Linked DNA regions of Daphnia pulex. The protein of the gene in region 1 interacts with the protein of each later gene in a biochemical or structural test. Links are inferred from orthologs where the notes say so. Each region holds a gene or a part of one and is shown on either strand. Other genes may lie near its edges.

The links.
Region 2: the proteins of flap endonuclease 1-like (region 1) and checkpoint protein HUS1-like form a complex in vitro, tested with the Homo sapiens proteins (2 studies listed by BioGRID). The link is inferred for Daphnia pulex from reciprocal best matches to the Homo sapiens genes FEN1 and HUS1.

Annotation. Positions count from the first base shown.
Region 1 is NC_060025.1:1,069,645-1,079,032, forward strand, and holds the start of flap endonuclease 1-like, read right to left. Parts: upstream 5,113-9,388; 5' UTR 5,002-5,112; intron 4,951-5,001; 5' UTR 4,843-4,950; coding exon 4,761-4,842; intron 4,703-4,760; coding exon 4,600-4,702; intron 4,539-4,599; coding exon 4,372-4,538; intron 4,280-4,371; coding exon 4,170-4,279; intron 4,113-4,169; coding exon 3,909-4,112; intron 3,850-3,908; coding exon 3,631-3,849; intron 3,556-3,630; coding exon 3,352-3,555; intron 3,276-3,351; coding exon 3,219-3,275; 3' UTR 2,478-3,218; intron 2,395-2,477; exon of another isoform or gene 2,299-2,394; 3' UTR 2,106-2,298; intron 2,042-2,105; 3' UTR 1,954-2,041; intron 1,894-1,953; 3' UTR 1,622-1,893; intron 1,557-1,621; 3' UTR 1,472-1,556; intron 1,405-1,471; 3' UTR 1,169-1,404; intron 1,100-1,168; 3' UTR 762-1,099; intron 698-761; 3' UTR 655-697; exon of another isoform or gene 582-654; 3' UTR 1-581. UniProt on the Homo sapiens protein: Structure-specific nuclease with 5'-flap endonuclease and 5'-3' exonuclease activities involved in DNA replication and repair.
Region 2 is NC_060024.1:9,949,576-9,958,420, reverse strand, and holds checkpoint protein HUS1-like, read left to right. Parts: upstream 1-4,212; 5' UTR 4,213-4,313; coding exon 4,314-4,365; intron 4,366-4,458; coding exon 4,459-4,665; intron 4,666-4,726; coding exon 4,727-4,839; intron 4,840-4,915; coding exon 4,916-5,023; intron 5,024-5,090; coding exon 5,091-5,265; intron 5,266-5,325; coding exon 5,326-5,415; intron 5,416-5,483; coding exon 5,484-5,572; 3' UTR 5,573-5,680; coding exon of another isoform or gene 5,681-5,758; 3' UTR 5,759-5,889; downstream 5,890-8,845. Other genes in the region: uncharacterized protein LOC124200064, read right to left, coding at 1-31, 98-947, 1,011-1,205, 1,271-1,544, 1,661-1,996, 2,062-2,294, 2,357-2,573, 2,638-2,815 and 2 more; probable 26S proteasome non-ATPase regulatory subunit 3, read right to left, coding at 5,681-5,758, 5,982-6,347, 6,411-6,659, 6,729-6,842, 6,907-7,018, 7,080-7,279, 7,337-7,605, 7,844-7,946; 39S ribosomal protein L9, mitochondrial-like, read left to right, coding at 8,442-8,522, 8,699-8,845. UniProt on the Homo sapiens protein: Component of the 9-1-1 cell-cycle checkpoint response complex that plays a major role in DNA repair. The 9-1-1 complex is recruited to DNA lesion upon damage by the RAD17-replication factor C (RFC) clamp loader complex.

The DNA.
Region 1 (9,388 bases):
GCGAATTGCAAAAGATTATTTTCTCCTTTCTTTTCAAATTGTTTTATCCTTTAACACAGCGCAAAATGAGGCGCACAGACGATCGTAAAAACGTCAGATTGGTTTATTCTATCCCGCTATACACCGTTTCCTTTCTTCTCACTTCTGGTCGTCAACCCGTGGAAAAACTGGGAAAACCCGTGCGGTTTCTTTTTCAATCTAAGCATTACATTTATTGCTCTCGCCAATGAGTGCAACAGTGTAACATAACGTCAACTTGCCCTTAAAACCGAAAGTTTTTTTTTCTTTTTTGTCTGAAGAGTCTTAAGTAGGCTAATACTTGGATACGAAAGCATTTAATCTTAAATAGGAAAATATTGAGTCCCTTGCGATTAATCAGTTGGTACGTGGTTCAATCACAAACAGCATTTTCATGGACCCATCTAGGTGATGTTTAAGTGAGCTACTTTATACTGATGACTCAGCAATGGCACGGCGCGGTATCGCAGTTTCGTAGAGTGTAGGAAACTTTACCAATCTCAATTTTCAACAACGAGTCGACCCAAAAAGTTATCTTACTGATCCAGACCAACCAGGAAACTCTAAATGGTTAAGATACACACAGGCGTGAGGCACTAAAATCTAATGCTCTGTGCGCTACAGGTATATCCTTACCCAATGGATGCAAAGCCTCTTCGACCTCCATTGAGCTCGCTGCCTGTAAATTAAAATAATAGTTTTATCACAGTCATCACATGGAATGAAATTAGACTCTATATTACGGGATTCCAAATATACAATCACACTCAAGGCAATTATTCAGAAGCGAATTATTTTCGGGTTCAACCAATAACAAGATGTTCCTTGAATCTTATGTAAATCACCCCACCGGCGATTTGATGAACTGTAGTAGGAAGAACAATTTACTTAAGCGTAGACGTTAATAACGACCACCAAATGGCTATTCTTTAGTTTAATTTTTGATTTGTTTCCTTAAGCTCTCAACGAGCCTTTTTTGTTCTTCCAATTCCTGCTTGACCATCGCCAACTGAAACTCTACCTCGCGAAGATCCTTTTTCATCTCCATACAAGTGGAACAACTCTCATCGATTACGACGGGCTAAAAATCAAACAAACAATAAAATTACTGGTTAGGAACTCGTTTTGCAATGTTCAATTTGAAAATCACTTTTGGCTTTTCTGGGTATTTTGACTTTTTGTCTTTGATGAGGTCGACGATGATTATATTTGATATCCGCTTCCGGGACTCGGTCGTCTTGGTATCAGATTCCTTCATTCCGTATTGCAATCTTTCGTGCCCATAGTCCATTTCGACCGCAGATTGGTCTGCAATTTCACTTTCCGTCAGCTTTTTCAATGATAAATTCAACGAAGGTACAGCATTGGGTTTTAACAACTTTTTGTCTAAAATCAAAAGTTTTCTTTTTTTACAAAGTTAATTCACGATAGTATTTCTGAAACGCTATTATACTTGTTTCTCTGTAATCATCCATATCAAAGTGCATGGAGCAAACCTTGCCCTTTTCTTTGGGGATCCAATCGCCATTCGTTAAGCTCTAAATTAAGAAAGAATGCTTGAGTGTTTGCTGTTTGGTGATAGAATAAACATTTTGTTGTCTACCTCTATCCAGAGTTTCTTCCTTGCTGGATCTGCTGGAAATTCATGGAAAGAAAGTGGCTCAGGCCAGAGCTGGGCCTCCCTGTACTGTCTACAATTCATGGCAGAACACACATAGTATGCTTGTGCTGTAGAAGTGGATGAGGCCACAACACCTGATGAGTTTGTTGCTCTTGCTGTATTGGCTGCTTTGGTCAACCCACTCTTAGGCAATGGCTCCAGGATGAGATGTAGTGATGGAACTGCTGTTGCATTAAGACGTTTGACTGCAGATGCTAAAATAAAATGAAGTGTAACAGCGTCCAATCTCTCATTTTATTTTATATTGCAGTTACCAGTTGCCTCTCGATAGCATTCAGGAGTAAAATGCATGGCACATATTTTCGCTTTGTCTCCTGGCACCCAGTCTTCTCGTTCTATTATCTAGAATATTAAAAATTATTAGTTTTCAGAATCTCCCACTTGTTGAATTATATGTAAATCTTACTTCTAACCACAGTTTCCTCCTTGCCAAGTCTGCTGGAAACTCATGAAAGGTCAATGGCTCTGGCCAACGATTAGCCTCTCTGTATGATCTGCAGTTATTGACTGAACAAATATTCCTCTCTCGTTTTTTATGCAACATTTTCAAATCATCGGTCGATGAACGATTTAAAACACAGAAGTAAAACTCTCCAAGGCTTCGGATGTAAAGGCATTTGGATCCGCAGACACACACCAACAATATGTAAATATTCAAAAGTAGACAAATACGTTATTAAGTTCCAAGTAGTTTCCTAAAGTGTTTTGTCAACAAACACATGTGACCAAATTAGTCTACAATTGAAAATATTTCTTTCTCTGTTAGAATACGAAGTACCTCTAATGTTTGGAATTTCTGTTCTCTGAATGTGCAGTGTGAGATATTAATCTGAGGCGATACACAGACGCCATCTATACTGCATAGAACATTTTTGTAAACAACGAATATCCTGCCACAAGCAATCTATCTGTAATTTTGTGGCATAATAAATTGAACTAAATACCGTTTTCTAATGATTGATAGATAATTTTCAGGTTTCATAAAGTAATCGCTATTCGAGTTTTTTCCTTTTTTTTTTTATTTCTTAAATTTTCTTTTTGACGATAGATGTCTCATTAGAGGACCAGGTGGCAAAGGGTAATTTTTCAAACTAGGCTAGGCCCTAACGCTGTTTCTGGCTAGTAGGCTATACAAATAACTAATTACACGAAATTTGAAGACGGGAAATTCAAACTCCCACAACGAAAATAAGATACTATCTCGAATGAGAATTTCAGATATGCACTGCATCTTTCACGGAATCAGTTACACAAAGTATAAAGAGAAAAGACGGTCGAAGCAAAAACTCATTCCTTTTAGCCAGAGAAAACTTAGTATAAGCTAATGGAACGAATGGCGAGGAATTCCATAAATATAAAGATACTACTGATCAATGATAATTAAAATTAGAAATCAAAATTTTAAATGAATGAATTACAAGTGATGAATCATGGTTAATAGTAATAGCCTCATGTAAAACGAGTAAGCAAGTTACATCGATAATAATGGGCACAATTCATTGTTTCAGCATTAAATAAATTATTTTGCACGCTTAAATTTGGCTCCTCCTTTGCTTCCCTTTTTCGGTTCCTCGGCCTATTAATAAAAAATGGCAAATTAATTTTAAATGCATCATGCGGTAAAAAACAAACAAACAGATAATACAACCAACCTTGCGCTTTGAAGCCGGTGTGGAAGGCGTAGACGGTTTGCTAGAAGGAAGAACTTTGAAAAACGAATCAAGTCGGCCTTGCGTCTGCCCTGTTTTCGCTTTACACAATTTCTTGGCGCCTGAGCGAATGCGCTCTTCGTTGAAGTTTTTGTCACCACACATAAATTTGACTAGACCTTCTTCATCTGGCTGTGTCCATTTCAACTATATATGGAAAGAGGAGGCAATGGGACAGTGCGATTAGGTTGTGATCTGACACGTAGTAAGTTTAAGGCTTACGTCAAGGGTCTCTGCATCTGTAACATCAGGCGTTTTGAATAGTCGTCTTGCTTCTTGATAAGGCCAATTTTCTGGGACGGTGTACTTTTTGGTATCAAGGTTTTCGATCACCTTTTCAATGCATCGATGTTTGTCTATGAGTTCCTTGGCTCTTTTGGCGCCTATTCCTTTTATCGTGTCACAATAATCGCAGCCCAACATGATGCATAGATCGATGAACTAAGAAATTGAAAATTTAATAAGACAAACATTTTAAGATTTTCTTCGAGCATTTTTACTTCATCCATTGTGTACGACAGTCCGTCCAAAATTTTATCCAAATGGAATTCCTTGATGGGCATTTTTTTGGCTTCACTGTATGTCAAGTATCTCAGCAGGACATTGGAACCAAAGGTCAATGAATCCATGTCTTCAGTTGCAGTTGCATAAACCTTTCCTGCTTTCACCAAAGCTGCACACTGAGCTTCAGCTTCACAGGGTGCCTAGACAGATGAAATGGTCATGCTGAAATGTTGCCAATGCAAAAACGGCCAACCAACCTCAACATAAGGTATTCCCATTAAAGTAAGTAGTTGTTTGCATTCATCAGTGTGTCCTTTGTTTACTTTTACCAGACGCTTGTTCATTTTTTCCATCTCCACTGCATCACCTATTGAAGATAGATAGATAGATAGATTAAAAACCAATTTTCGTGTAACCATAAAATTCTGCACAGAACAACCATAAAATTCTTGTAAATACCTGCATCTGTGGCAAGAACCAGTTGCTTTGATGCTTCTTCTCTTTTCTCTGCTCTTTTGGTCAGTTCACCCCCTTTCATGTCAGGTGGTTTTCCATCAAACACATAAACAGGCTTGATTCCATTATCAACCATCCGAATGGTCCGGTAGAAAATACCCATCAAGTGACTGTATGAAAGAAAACATTTCAATATACTTGTTTAGGGATGGAAAATATGTAAAACTGAACCTAGTAGTTTCTCCATCGGCAGAGGTTAGCATAGCCCCTTCAGATCGTACAGCTATAAGAAACTGGTAAATGCTCATTGAAGCATCAATGGCAACTTTTCTGCCTGAAAGAACACAAATAGGGTTACAGGTATTTACATGATGAATTATTTAACAAGATACCGAAATAGTTCTTAATTTCATTTTCTTTAATGGCAGTAGGAGCAGTATCTCCAATCACTTGGGTCAGCCCTTTAATACCCATTCTGAGCAGTGAGAATCGAATGGTGAAACTAGGATTTAAGAACTATTATGAAACTTCAATTCTGTTTTCTCTAAAATCAAACTGATGCCAGTATTTTCAACAGACGTTTTTTTTTTTTTTTTTTTTTATGATTGATGGGGCTCCGAGTCAACAGACGTTATGAAATTGTATGTGTATCTTAAATGAATAAATAAGAAAGTAGCTCCGGAAGACTGCAGAACACGAATTGTGTCACGGAAAAGGCGCCAAAAAGTAGACGAAGCAGCAAAGCTGAATGCAGCGTTGCCAAACCCAATAATAATACCGCCTCACGGACGGCATCTAGCGGCGGAGATAGAACCATCTGCTGGCTAGGCGGGCTAGCGCAAGCGATTTAACGGCTGAAAGCGACTTTCCCGTCTAAATTTCTCTTAATTAACCGTTTCTATAGAATATTATACCCTAAATAATTAGCATGTCAGACTATTTTATATTGTCATTTGCCTAGTCGCCTAGCCTAGTCGTTGATTTGGCATTTTTGATTTTGACATGATTTTGACATTTGAATTTCGCAACATCGATTGAGTCGATATTTCATTTGTTTAGACTTACATTAACATCACTTGTCGCAGTTATTAATATGCAGGAACGCTTCAAACAATTAAAGGTTTCATCGCAGCTATTATATAGACATTTGGTTAAATAAAAACGTATAGGTATATTCATGACGCTCCTAATGAGTTCTTGACAGGCATCTTTTCTCGTTAGGGTGCTGGGGGATGCGCCTCCCTCCCTGGTCCCCTCCCATAACGCTTGACGCCAAATAAATGCAGAACAGCGGAATCAAGACACACTTAACTCTCCAGTCTCTTTCCACCCGACGTGTATACCGCATCCGCCATCCGCCAGCAGCCAATGCGAGCCAATGCACAGCAGCTGTGGTGGTCAAAATCGATTCGTTCATTGACATGCAACTGACGCTTGTGATATCTTATCTAACCGACGTCAACGGAGAGAGAAAAGAAGAAAAGAAGCTGTTCAGCGAAAATCCAATTGGCTTTTTATTTTGCATAACTAGTAGAAAAGGGATTTTTAGACTTTTTATTTTGACAAATCCGCGGGCCCACGACCACTGCGCTCGCACCCAAATGGCCGCAAAACGGACGAAAACTGTCGCAGCAGCCAGACCATGTCAAAATGCCCGTCAGACATCAGCACAGCAGCAGCATAAGCTCTGGGCTGTTTTGCATCGGTTGATATTTATTCATGGCAGCGCAGAGCACGAACGGGTTTCAGCAGGAGCGAATATAACGGGCGTTGCCGCTTTTCACGTTATAATCTACGGCGAAAGCTTTTGCATAACGAAAATCGATCTGAGCATATCTCAGCACCAGCATCAGCAGCTCGCTCAACTTTATAGGCTAAAAGTATAACCTATACATGTTTAGACGCCTGGCAGCTCTCAGGGTGATCAGCACTAGGCTATATAGCTATAAGAACGAGATTGAGTCAATCACAAGTTTCCTTTCCAGCTTCTAATCTTCTCATGTAAACGGCAGTAGTTATAAATAAATTCTATTTTGAAATCAAATGTCAACTGTTTCAAAGAAGCCCTTTTAAATGCTCGGATAGGTAAAGTACCTCGGCAATTAAATATTCGGACGGAATAGCCCTGCTGAGCTGTCGTCCTCTAATCTATTCGTCTAACAGCACATCAGCACATGTCACATTTATATATGCTGTGCGCCGGACTCTTAAAGACCGACGGAGCGCGTACAGGATCGGCGACGTTTTCTTCATGTTCCGTCTAAAATCACGATGCTGAACACACCGTTTCCCATCTTCAAGACGTTCTCTACAGAGCATCCAGCAGCATCCAGCAGCGCTCCTAACGTTTTACTTATATTTCCCCGAATGCGCGTGATGAGAATATCCTATAAGCTTCTCTGCTGCTGCTGCTGCTGTGCATCAGAACGGCGGGTACTTATCGCTTTTGAGTGGCGGTTAAAGCGGCCGACATCAACGCGCTCCTCTTCTCAATCCAGCTGTCGTTTCATTCCCACTCCATTTGAAACAGGCTGACGGCAGCAGCACACACACGCAGTTGTACATATTAGAGACAGCACCATCATATATAACCGGGACAGCAGCAGCAGTAGCAGAGAAGAGAGAGGACGAAAGCACGCACTGTATCTAATCTGTAGAGACACTCTATCTGTATAACAGCGATGAGCTGATATACATTCTAGGAGATATAATACACGCACTTGAGTTGAAATGGCGAACATCATGCGCGGATATTATGTACGACGATGGCACAGTCATTAAAATATCAGGAGACCGTTTGTTACCATGGCAAACATATAAGTAGTAATCAATAGTCATCTCTAAAAGCTGGCTATACATTAGTGTTTCACCGTTGTGCTTTTTTTAATTCGTTATCGTTATCGTTAATCGTTATTTTTTCAATTTTTCATTCGTTTCGTTCTTCGTTTCGTTAATTTAAACGTGTCGCATTTTTCTCTTTTTGCGACCGTTATCGTTTACCTTACAATTTTTTTTTAGAACCTAGTTTTCTAAGGCCTGTAAGGCCAAATGATGTAGCGAAAATAATGACGTAATTCCTCGCTAGGGGATCGCTAAGTCGCTAGTAGGTGGTCATCCCAAAATTGAAAATTCCAAATTTTGAGGGAAAAAAAAGTTTCCCCTGGTGGTCAAAAAATTTGAAATCTCTACGGTTTTGATACGAAAAATTTAGCAAGAAATTAACGAAAACAACGAAAAAAACAGCCATTTCGTTATCGTTAACGAAAAAAACGAGCATTTTCCAAAAAAGTCGATAACGAGGCTCGTTAATACGTTATTTTCGTTGTCGTTATTTAAACGAGTGAAACACTACTATACATGTGTGTACAACCCCGGTACAACCCTGTGTATAGCCAGCATCATCTAATATACCGGTGTGTATAGTATATAGCGATCGATAAAACAGCGACAGCACAGCCCATCAGTCTTGAGCGCCAATTTCTTTTTTTCGGTGTTAATTCACAACACAGCAGTTGCTCCTATAAATAGACACAAGTTAAAATAAACATCAGAGACGGCGAGAAGAGAGTCTATAAGGTTCAAGATGCTGGCGGTTGACGTGGTATATAGACGCGAGTTTATGTATACATACGGCGGCGCTTGAATGTCTAAAAGTTGCGGTCGTCCGTTTGTATATAATCTGCGCTGATGGTGTCATCGCGCGACACGAGTCGAAGTGTTGCGGGAGTATAAGTTTTTTTTTTCTTTTCGTGTAAACGATTCTGTATATAGAGATTGCAATCAGTTCGTTTTTTTTCGCTGGGTTGCCATAGGGCCAGATGGAAGAGGGGAGGGGGAAACGGAACAGGAAAAAGTTTAGAACGAACGAACGAAATAATAAAAAAAACCGAGGACTTGTATTACGAAAATCCCGGGGCAAATTGCAGTCGACGAATTCTAACTTTTGGGAAGAGGCGGGGAAGAGGAAAACGACGGGGAATATAAGTTTGGCGACAACAGCGGATCGCCCAGTAGGATATATTCAGCATCCATCCACCAATGAGAATCTCGTGCAACCCAAATGGAGTCGAGAGCCCCAGTCTCATTCGTATGTAATATAAACTGCACCTGACAAGGGGGATGAAAATAGACCAGCAAACTGAAACTTGACAGAGATTTTAAAATTCAATTATAAAGAAAGCGAAAAAATTTAGAAGAAATCAGTTTTGACGGATGTATTCCGGCCCTCCGCTGTCGTATTTAGTATATTAGGAAATGGTATATATTATTATATCCTGTGGGGGTTTTCGTCCATGTGCTGGGGCTGTAACAACATCACAATCTGGGTCGATTCGCCGGGAAATGTGGAACGCGGCTACGACGACGACAGTTTGTTGTGACTGCAGAGCGTTCGGTATATATACATATATATAATTGCATTTCTATGTTTATTTTTTCTGGTCGTTTTGCCTTGGTTCGTCGCTTTTTCGTCTAAAATGCGAGCAGCTAGCGCGGCGGACGACCGGCTATAACTTCGTTCCTTTTCAATCACAGGTGCCACTCTGAATTTTGATCGAGTCCATCCGCCCGTGTGATACCAAACAGTCTGCATCAAAAGGATGGAAGGAAGAGAGCGAGGTTTTTATAAAAATAAAAAAAAATAGAGAAGAAATGATGAATAAATTGCCAGATTAGTTGCTGGGGGGAGAAAACTCGTTTGCCATGCCCTGTCACCGCGCAGCGCTCTGATACTGGCTATATGCTTTGCAATATTCACAGTTTGTTTAGGCGCTTCTCGTTTATTGTCCAACTTTCGACTCAAATAAGGCCAGCCCTATATGTAGCGCAGCTCTCACACGAAAACGACGTCAAGATTATATAACCAACGCGGGTCTGGGCAACGGAGCATGGTGCCATGACAGCAGAAAGAGAGCCCCTGCTGCTCGTGCCTTCTTGTATGCACAGTTCCTTATGTCTGGAAACAGAAAAAAACAAATAGACAAGATGAAAATAGACCAGCAACGTGCCAGTTAGCCTACAA
Region 2 (8,845 bases), on another chromosome or scaffold:
TTCACCGTCTCACTTAAAGCATAAACAGAACCTGCGCACACAAATTGGTTGGTTAAACAAAGTAGGGGAAGTAAACCTTGAAAAATCAGATACATACCAAGGATTGGACCAACTTGGCCTTTATGGACGTGATTCTGGTGAAGTTTCATAGCGATTCCACAGCAAGTTGAAAAGCGACACAAAGTACAGCACATGTACCCGGTGAAATGGTTTTTCTTCTTTAAAGGCTCTTTGCATTCAATGCATAGGTTGGCGGCAAGAAGCATCTCCTCTGTCAGAGTTACGTTCGGAAGTCGACGGGCCACACTTGTATTCGGTATCTCCTGAACTTCTTTAGAGTACGTTTTAAGACTTGCTTTCATTCCGGCACCAGCAACCGAATTAGGAGAACTTGATGAGGCAAGGTTAGCTGACGTTAATCCAGTATTTGATGAGTTGGAATAGACCACCACTTGATTCTTGCCGCCTGCGGAACCAACTGGTTTGATGATCGTGTAACTAAAAGGCCGCACGTGTATGTTTGTTATGGCCGAGAGGTGGTCAGTACGAACGTGATAGAGTAACTGATCGTACTCTTGGAAAGTCAGAACACAACGCTTGCAAGGATGGCCGTTTGTCAACGGTAGATGGTTTTTCAGATGCTGCAAGTACTGCATATGCCCTGTATCGAATGCCTTTGCTTCATTGTCTCCTTTTGTATCGAACGTGTCGAGGCACAAAGGGCACAACAAATGTAAACTATTCTTGTGATTTTCATAGAAGTGGTTGATCAGTTGCGAGTGGGCTGAAGTCTGGAAATGACAGACACGGCAGCGATAGGGCATCTCACAGTACACATGCGTCTTCTCCAAATGCTGCTCCAACTGGCGAAATTGTGCGAACTTTTCGTGGCAAATTAAACACACCAGATCTTTAACGGAAGCAGTATCTTCCCTCGACATTTGAGACTATAGACCAGGGAGATCATTGATTAACATTTGAAATCATACCAATAATAATCTTATGCTTACCTTAAATGTCGAAAGAAACAAGTGATGATTATCTTCGTGCGCTTTTTTCTGACTTGCAGTAGCTAAAGTATCCAAGCAATAACTACAATGCTCCGTCCAATCATCTCCATCAGTCACTGCGTCTTTCACCAAATGTTGCCTCAAGTGTGCCATCATTTCCAAGTTAGTATGCGTCACTGTTTTGCATTCCGAATGCTAAACGAAGTAAACGTGAATTTTAAGGGATAAATTAAAACGCGAAGACCATTAAAGAGCACTACCTGACATTGGAGATGAGGTCTTGTCATTTCTGAATCCTCCGGATCCGGAATGGCTACTCCTTTACTTAAATCCAACATAGTGGCGTAGTACGATACAGTGCGCATTTCCTTTGCATTACTTGCCCCACTCGTTGAGGCGCTCTCTTTAATAGTTGAGACCATTGGGCGCTTAAGAGCTACCGTGCTCGTGGCTTCATTTGGAGAGGTTTGATTTGGTTTGTTTTGAGTAATGCTCCAGTCTTTGAATGGATCGACTGACACGATAGGTAGACGCCTGGCCAACACAAAATAGTGCTTTTAGGAAAAGTTATATAAGCAGAAAATTGCATGGTTTCCCTCTTTTTGATCAAAGAAATAACAATATACGAAAATTAAGATAGAATGTCTCACTTGACTAATGGCATTCCGGTTTCTGCACGAGCTTGAGCGCTGATATCGCGAATAATATTATGGAAAGCATCAGATGATGATTGCCCGTTGATTTCACGCCACACTAGTTCATCCAAGAACTGCTGGATCGTAGCAGTTGAAAGAAGTGATAGGGTATTCTGGAACACCTTAGGCACCGTTTTGCGGAGGTACTCCATAATGGTACGATTGTTTAGGCGGTCATCAACAGAAACCGTATTTAAATTTTTCTGTACTACATGACGAAATCCTAGTTCTTCGAGTGCCGCACGTTCAACAGTGAAATCTGTCATGATAATGGCTTTCTGATTCACCCACCTAAACAAAACGTGGAATGGTAAAAATTAGATTATAGCAATTGGGGATGCAATATTTTCATTTACTTTGGAAGGGGTTCTAGAATTTTGGTAAATCGAGCTCGACTACGCGTATCCCCAGCGATTGGTTCACAGGCCCGCAGTCGGAATTTCTTTGTTTCTTGATCATAGACGCCGAGGACTTCCACCTTAACGTCACGTCGCTTTCCATCCGTCGATGTTGTACCTAATGAAATCACTCCAACCTCAACGCGGCCATTTTTGCAGCCGAACAATGGAGTGCTAGAATGCACTTCTACCTACATTCGTATAAAATATAAATATGAAAATTTACAAAATATAAATAACTAGCAACGCGTACCGTGCAAACACTCCGTAACATGCCATAGAACAAGCGGAGAAAGACATGATCGATTTTCACCCACTGAACTACGTTCGAAACGGTTGTTTGGCAAGCCCAGTGATAAATGAGCTTTAGCAAAACTGTTGGGGACTGGGTAGAATCCTCAAATAATGACTCACGAAATATCGAAACAAAGTTGCGATCGCAACATTTTGTCATCCAAACATAGCCCCCACTAAATGTTCAATGGATTTAATTCACAATTCAATAACCTGTTCACGTCTTATTTAAATTTTTACCTGAATGGAAATTTATTCTCTTCTGCGTACATTCGCAGTTGTAATGGAACCGGGGTTGATGTCGCGTTAAAATGTGTTCGACAAGTGCCGAATTGCTGACTTCGTAAAAGGCCAACCTGCATTAACCATTCCGCAAATCGACGAGGATCGAGAACTAAACGGCTCTTTACGAACGAATCTAAAAAGCAAGACAAACCGAATGAAATAATTTTTTTAACATGCACAAAAAAAAATAAAATAAAAAAAAATAAAATACTCAACCAACCTAGTGCCTCTCGTTTCTTGGCATTTACGATGTCGGGAACTGAATTTGCCGGACGAACAACGACACAAAGAGAAGGTATCGTTTTAGACAGCATTTTTGTGTCTTCAGGTGGTGGCACACTCGCAGTATTTTTCGCTGGAGTGGCATTTGAAGGAACCGCCAAGATCGTCATTAGCTGACTTGTTGGGATAGTAACTGCAGGAGCTTGTGATGTTTCTGATGGCTTATTTGGCTTTTGCGTGGGAACAGGTTGATTGCTACTAGCTCTTTTGTTATTTCCACCTGAGATTGATGGAGTAACTTGAGCAACTTGAGTAGCTTGGGCAACTTGAACAGCTTGTGTGACTTTTGGTGTTTGAACAGTCTGGGGAGGTTTTACAGTATGAGAAAGCTGGATTACTTTTGCAGTTTGGGCAGCCTGAGCTACTTGAATAGTTTGAGGAATAGCTTGAACAGTTTGACCAACTTGGCCAGGTTGTATGCATGGTGCAGCTTTCTGTTTCTTTGCGGTAGTAGCAGTAAATTGTGAAAGCAATTGTGATGCTGGAAATGGAGTTTCATCAACAGCTGGAGTTTCATCTGCAGCAGGTAACAGAGCTATAGACTGATTCAGAGGCCTGAAAATTTTTGTTGGTAGTGTGGAAACAGGAGGAACAGAAGGAATTATTGGGGGTCTAATTAAAAATTGAGTAGGTCCACTTCGAGGACTATGCATAGTCTGCTGAACCGCTGGTGTTGGTAACTGAGGTGGTGGTGCAACAGGGTTCCGAACTTTAACCTGATATGTAGACTTCACCAACCAAACATTTCCAGTTTTTGTGACTGATGAACCTTCTGACAAAAATAAAACTGAACTAACTTGCCGGTTTAGTTTTAATGTATAGTTTACCTTTTTTAATCTGGTTGGCTTCTGACATGGCTTTTTCATATTCCATCATAGCATTTGTAAAGAAGCTAACTTGAGTTTCACTCAATTCTTCTTCACAACAATCAACTTCCAGATCACTGGAAAGCGTCATCTTGATTCTTGATTCTTGATTTTTATATTAATCCAATAAAACTCACAACTGCAAAATTCTTGCCGAGGAAAACAAACAACGTATGGGGAATGCGAAAAAATCAAGCCAAGGCAAAACATTGTTGCCAAATTTTCCCTATGCAATAATTGAAATTGAAATAAAAAGGAAAGAATTTTTTAAAATTATATATTAAATTTATGAATATTTCAATAGAAATAAATTTTTAATTGTATTAAGTTAGTGAAAAATAATAAAAATATAGAATGCTTTAAACTTAATTTGGCAGTCTCAATTCTCAAATCAAGCCGGGGAATTTCGTCTGTTCAAAATTTTCTCCTTCATTATTGTTCAAGTTTTTTCGTCTGTTTCAAGATCTCATTTCAACTTTCACAATGAAGTTTCGTGGGAAAATGATTGATCCTAACTGCATTAAGCAATTCATAGGTACGCAATTCCGAATTCTATTATTCATTGCTGTTCTAGGATTAAAATTTCATAAGTCGAAGTCATCAATGATCTTCACATTTTAAACTACAGGCATTTTAGGTTGCATGACGAAACTTGGGAAATCATGCATTCTAAGGATCACTACCAACGACTTGTATTTCATTGTCCGTGAATCCCAGACTATTTCAACCTCTCCACTTATTTGGTGTACTCTTGATGAGGGTCACTTTTTTTCAGAATTTGGAATGGAAGGTTTAAGTACCGTTGATAACGAAATATACCTTGAATTTGTTGCAGGTGAAGTGTACAAACAATGTTAAAACTATTAGATTCAAAATTTTCTTATTTTAATTAATAGAAAATGTTGCAAGAACATTGAGTGCCTTGAAAGTATCAGGAACTGCAAAATCAGTAAAAATCAAACTCACAAAGAAGCTTTCTTCACCGTGTCTAACTTTTGAGATTGACTTGGTATTCTTGAGATTGGCTCCTTGACTGACTTGTTATTCTCCTTATATGCATTAAAATTTCTCATGTATACTTTCAGCCATCAGGTTCTAATCATTCACGATTAGTTGTTCACGACATCCCTGTGAATTTGGTACCTAGAAGGCTTTGGAATGACTATGTTGAGCCAGAAGTTGTGGATCCAGATGTAATTATTTTTAGATATTTTTCTTATATCTTTATAAATATTTAAAATAAAACCCATTAATCTCTAGATTTCAGTTCATATGCCTCAGCTCCGTTTAATGAAAAGCATTATTGAACGCATGAAAAACCTTGCCAATATGGCCACTCTTCACGTCACATCCGAAGGATTACTTACTCTAACTGTTGAAACTGAAGCCGTTTCCGTAACTTCACACTTCGATCATCTACACGTTGAAAAGCAAAGTAAGACTTTAAGGTTGTAGCATTTCCACATAGTTTTAATTATCGGTAACGTTTTAATAGAGGAAGATGAAGCTAGTGTCACCATCGAATTGAAACGTCTATCAAATTTTCTAGCTCATGAACAGCTTAATCCACAAAAAGTCGTTTGTGGTATAAAACAATATGATTACATCTTTTACTAAACACAAACCGACACTCATTTCTATTCGATCTTATAGATGTGCTGCAATCAAAATTGATGCATTTGAATTTTCTGAGCGACAGTTACAGTTTGCAGTATTTTCTCCCAGGGATTAATGACCAATAACGAAGAAAAAAACTTTCCTGAGTTCCCTCGATGATTTATTAAAGTGGATCGCAACTTGAACGATTACATAGAGGCTCACATTTACGCGCTGATTTCAGTACCTACAACTCACGGAAAACCATCGTCATCTTCTTCAGCCATTTCCTTCGCATATTCCAAATCTTGTTGTTCCCGTTCGCGACGTTCCTATAAGAAAAATTTAATCTGTTTTTTACCATAGCCCAATACATAAAACGCAGATAATTCATGTCTGATAGATCTACAGTTTCAGATTTTAAATTACACAGTTGCATTTGGTTTCACGCCAAGGAATTCGATATTGAGTAACGCCGTTGTATTCACAATATTGCTTCTTATAATCAACTCATTTTTTCCTGCAATTAATCGAACGAAATTAGTTTGGGGTTACCTCTGCTGATTCCAAATCTTTGTTGTATGCCTTGGGAGGGAAGCGCATAGCTTTGACGCTTTGATTATGAATCTGAAGGCAGAAGGTGATTCGCTGGTGGAAAGCCAGCTGAGGCTCCTTGGTGCTGTAGACGTCAATGCTCTCCTTACTCTGCATAAATTTTCCTTCGTGGTCTAACCAAGCTTCGATAACTCCGTCACGAATGGCCTTGGCAACAATGAATTCAGCATCTTCGGCCGAGTCCAACAAAAGCTTGTGGGCTATGTCAGCTAGAGAAATGCGCGAATACGACAAAGAGATGGCTCTAATCGCAGTCTTGATAACATTGTGGCGTAGACGGATTATAAGAGTATAGGTATGATCAGCCTAAATAAATAAGAAAGTTAATTATATAATTTGGAGGGGGAACATTCGCTTGAAAGACCCTGCCTGGAAAGTTTTTCCGTAGTTCTCTAACACTTGATTGAATCTGTGTATGTCTCCCAACCTGACGGCTTGCGTCATTTGAAAATATGGAGCCAAGGCGTGTCTCATTGTTGACTGACGGAAAATATGCCGTTCAGGAATGTCTCCCATCAACAACTCGACTGTTACCAAAAGCTTTTGAACCGTTTGTTTGAAACCAACTGCTGTATGCTGGGGCGCTTTCCGAATGGCTTGCAAAAGATGAGTGTGAGCCTAAAATCAACAAAACAATGTTACAATTAGGAGATTAAAATAATAATAATAATAATTGTGTGTTCTCACCTGCGAATATTCCAATTGAATAGCCTTGATTCTTCCAAGATAGTAAAGATAACGTGACCACTCGTTGTTACTTCCAGATTCTGGGAAGACAGATTTTGAGACCAACTTGTCGGCCTAGAAAACGACTTATTAGGTAATCTAATGAAAAATAAATAAAAATAAAATAATGAAAACTTACTTGATCATACAGACTGTAGAAAAGATAGTTGCGCAGCAAACAATTGATCAGCACTGCCTGTCCCTCAAAATCTTTTCGGAGAGTACATGTACGTAGCCGGCTATGCAGAAAGCTAGAATAATAATAATAATTTAAGATATTTTGAAAGGTATTTTTAGCTAGTTCATTTTTACCTTCTGATTGAATCCAGCTTTCCAGCAAGCTCGTACGTCCTAGAATGATAGAAGTAGCAACGAGCAGCCAATAAATCCAAAGTACGCCGATTTTGAGCTGTTATTTTCTGCATTAATTGGTCTGAGCAGAGAACTCCTTCTTGAATGCGCTTATTATCGATACAATGAAGAAGAACTAACATATGGATGTATACGTCAACCTACATAAACTTCAGTCAGCAAAGGTTAAAAACGAATTTTGACCGAGATATATTTACTTCAGGTAAAGGAGAAGACGTCCCCTGTTTGGGAGCTCTTGTTCTTTGGATTGGAGATGCAATATCAAGAGAGTCATCCCCTCCTACTAGATTAAGCAAGTTGTCTCTTTCCTTTATCGAATAGCTATAACTGTGAAGAATGATGCGACGTAATACAGCGGGATTCAGTCGACGACGAGTGTTAGGCAACGACCTCAGTACTCGGAAAACAAATCGAGGCTCCTTTGTTATAACAGACTTTTCTACTTGCCTCAGTTGTTCACGGATATCTGTAATAAAGTTTAAAGAGACTGTAAGTTTTTTTCACCAGCATGTTATCCTTGCACGTAAATATTGGAAACCAGAAAATCTTATAACAAATAATTTAAATTTAACTAGTCTCATTTAACAGATGACAATACAATTGTAATTTTTAAGTTTTTCATATATTTTAAAATCTAGGAATTTAAAAGCAGAAGAACTTGAAAAGATTTTAATCTGTTCTCCAGACAAGTTTACAATCCATACCTTCTGTGGTTGCTGTATCAACATCCTTAACGTCTTTCTTCGTAATTTCCACTTCAACCTCCGTAACGGGGCTGTCCACTTCCATAGTTTCAACAGGTGGCATATTGAGAAGATGATTTCGAGCAACGGATTTTCAAATATTGTTTTATGAAAACCTTAGCTTTCTATTGCCTTCTTTTAATGTCTTTGGTCTCGTACTCTCGTTTACAGAACCAATTTCAACGCTCAGGCCGGCAGCGGAAAAAAACTCAACATTACAAGGCAGAATTGACAGTCGTAAGTTGCCAGTTTTACAGTAAAAAGTTACACACGAATGAATATATATAGAATGAAAAATTTGTTTTCAAAAATTTATTTCTAATATTTTGAAAGTTTTTTCTGTTTCATTTACGATTTTTTTATTCATGCGTTTTGTTTAATCAAAATTACTTGGCAAACATTCAGAATTTAGCAGACGGTTTTTGTGACGGGAGCGGGTCTGCGGGGAGCCGGTGATTGCTGAAGCGAGGGCAAACTCATAAGTCAAATTGAAATCCTTTTTCTATTCGAGTATCACATGTTTTTTGTGTGTGTGTATTAAATACTTATTAAATTAAACATGATACGCCTTGGTTTCCAGTTACTTGGTGGTGCAAAAACTTTTCAGCCTTCTCTGTCTATAAAAGTTGAACAAATAAGGGTAACTATAAATCAACAACACATTTCTTTGTTTACTATACAATCAGAGAAGGTTTAGATACCTTTTGAGGAAATTGCTATCTCTTTATTTCTATCTATTTAAACAGAAAGAAGTAGAAGTGGCACTAAATTCTTTTCTCAATATCAAGTATTTTTTTTTTGTTTTGTTCCAATCAGACCACATTTGTACTGAAAAGACGCTATCCACCGTTACTGGATAAACAAAATAGACCCCCAAAACCTCTAGTGACAAAAAACTTTGTATATGATGAAGTTGAAAATACTAATCTAAAAAAAGAACCAGATCTCAAGCTCATCCTGACT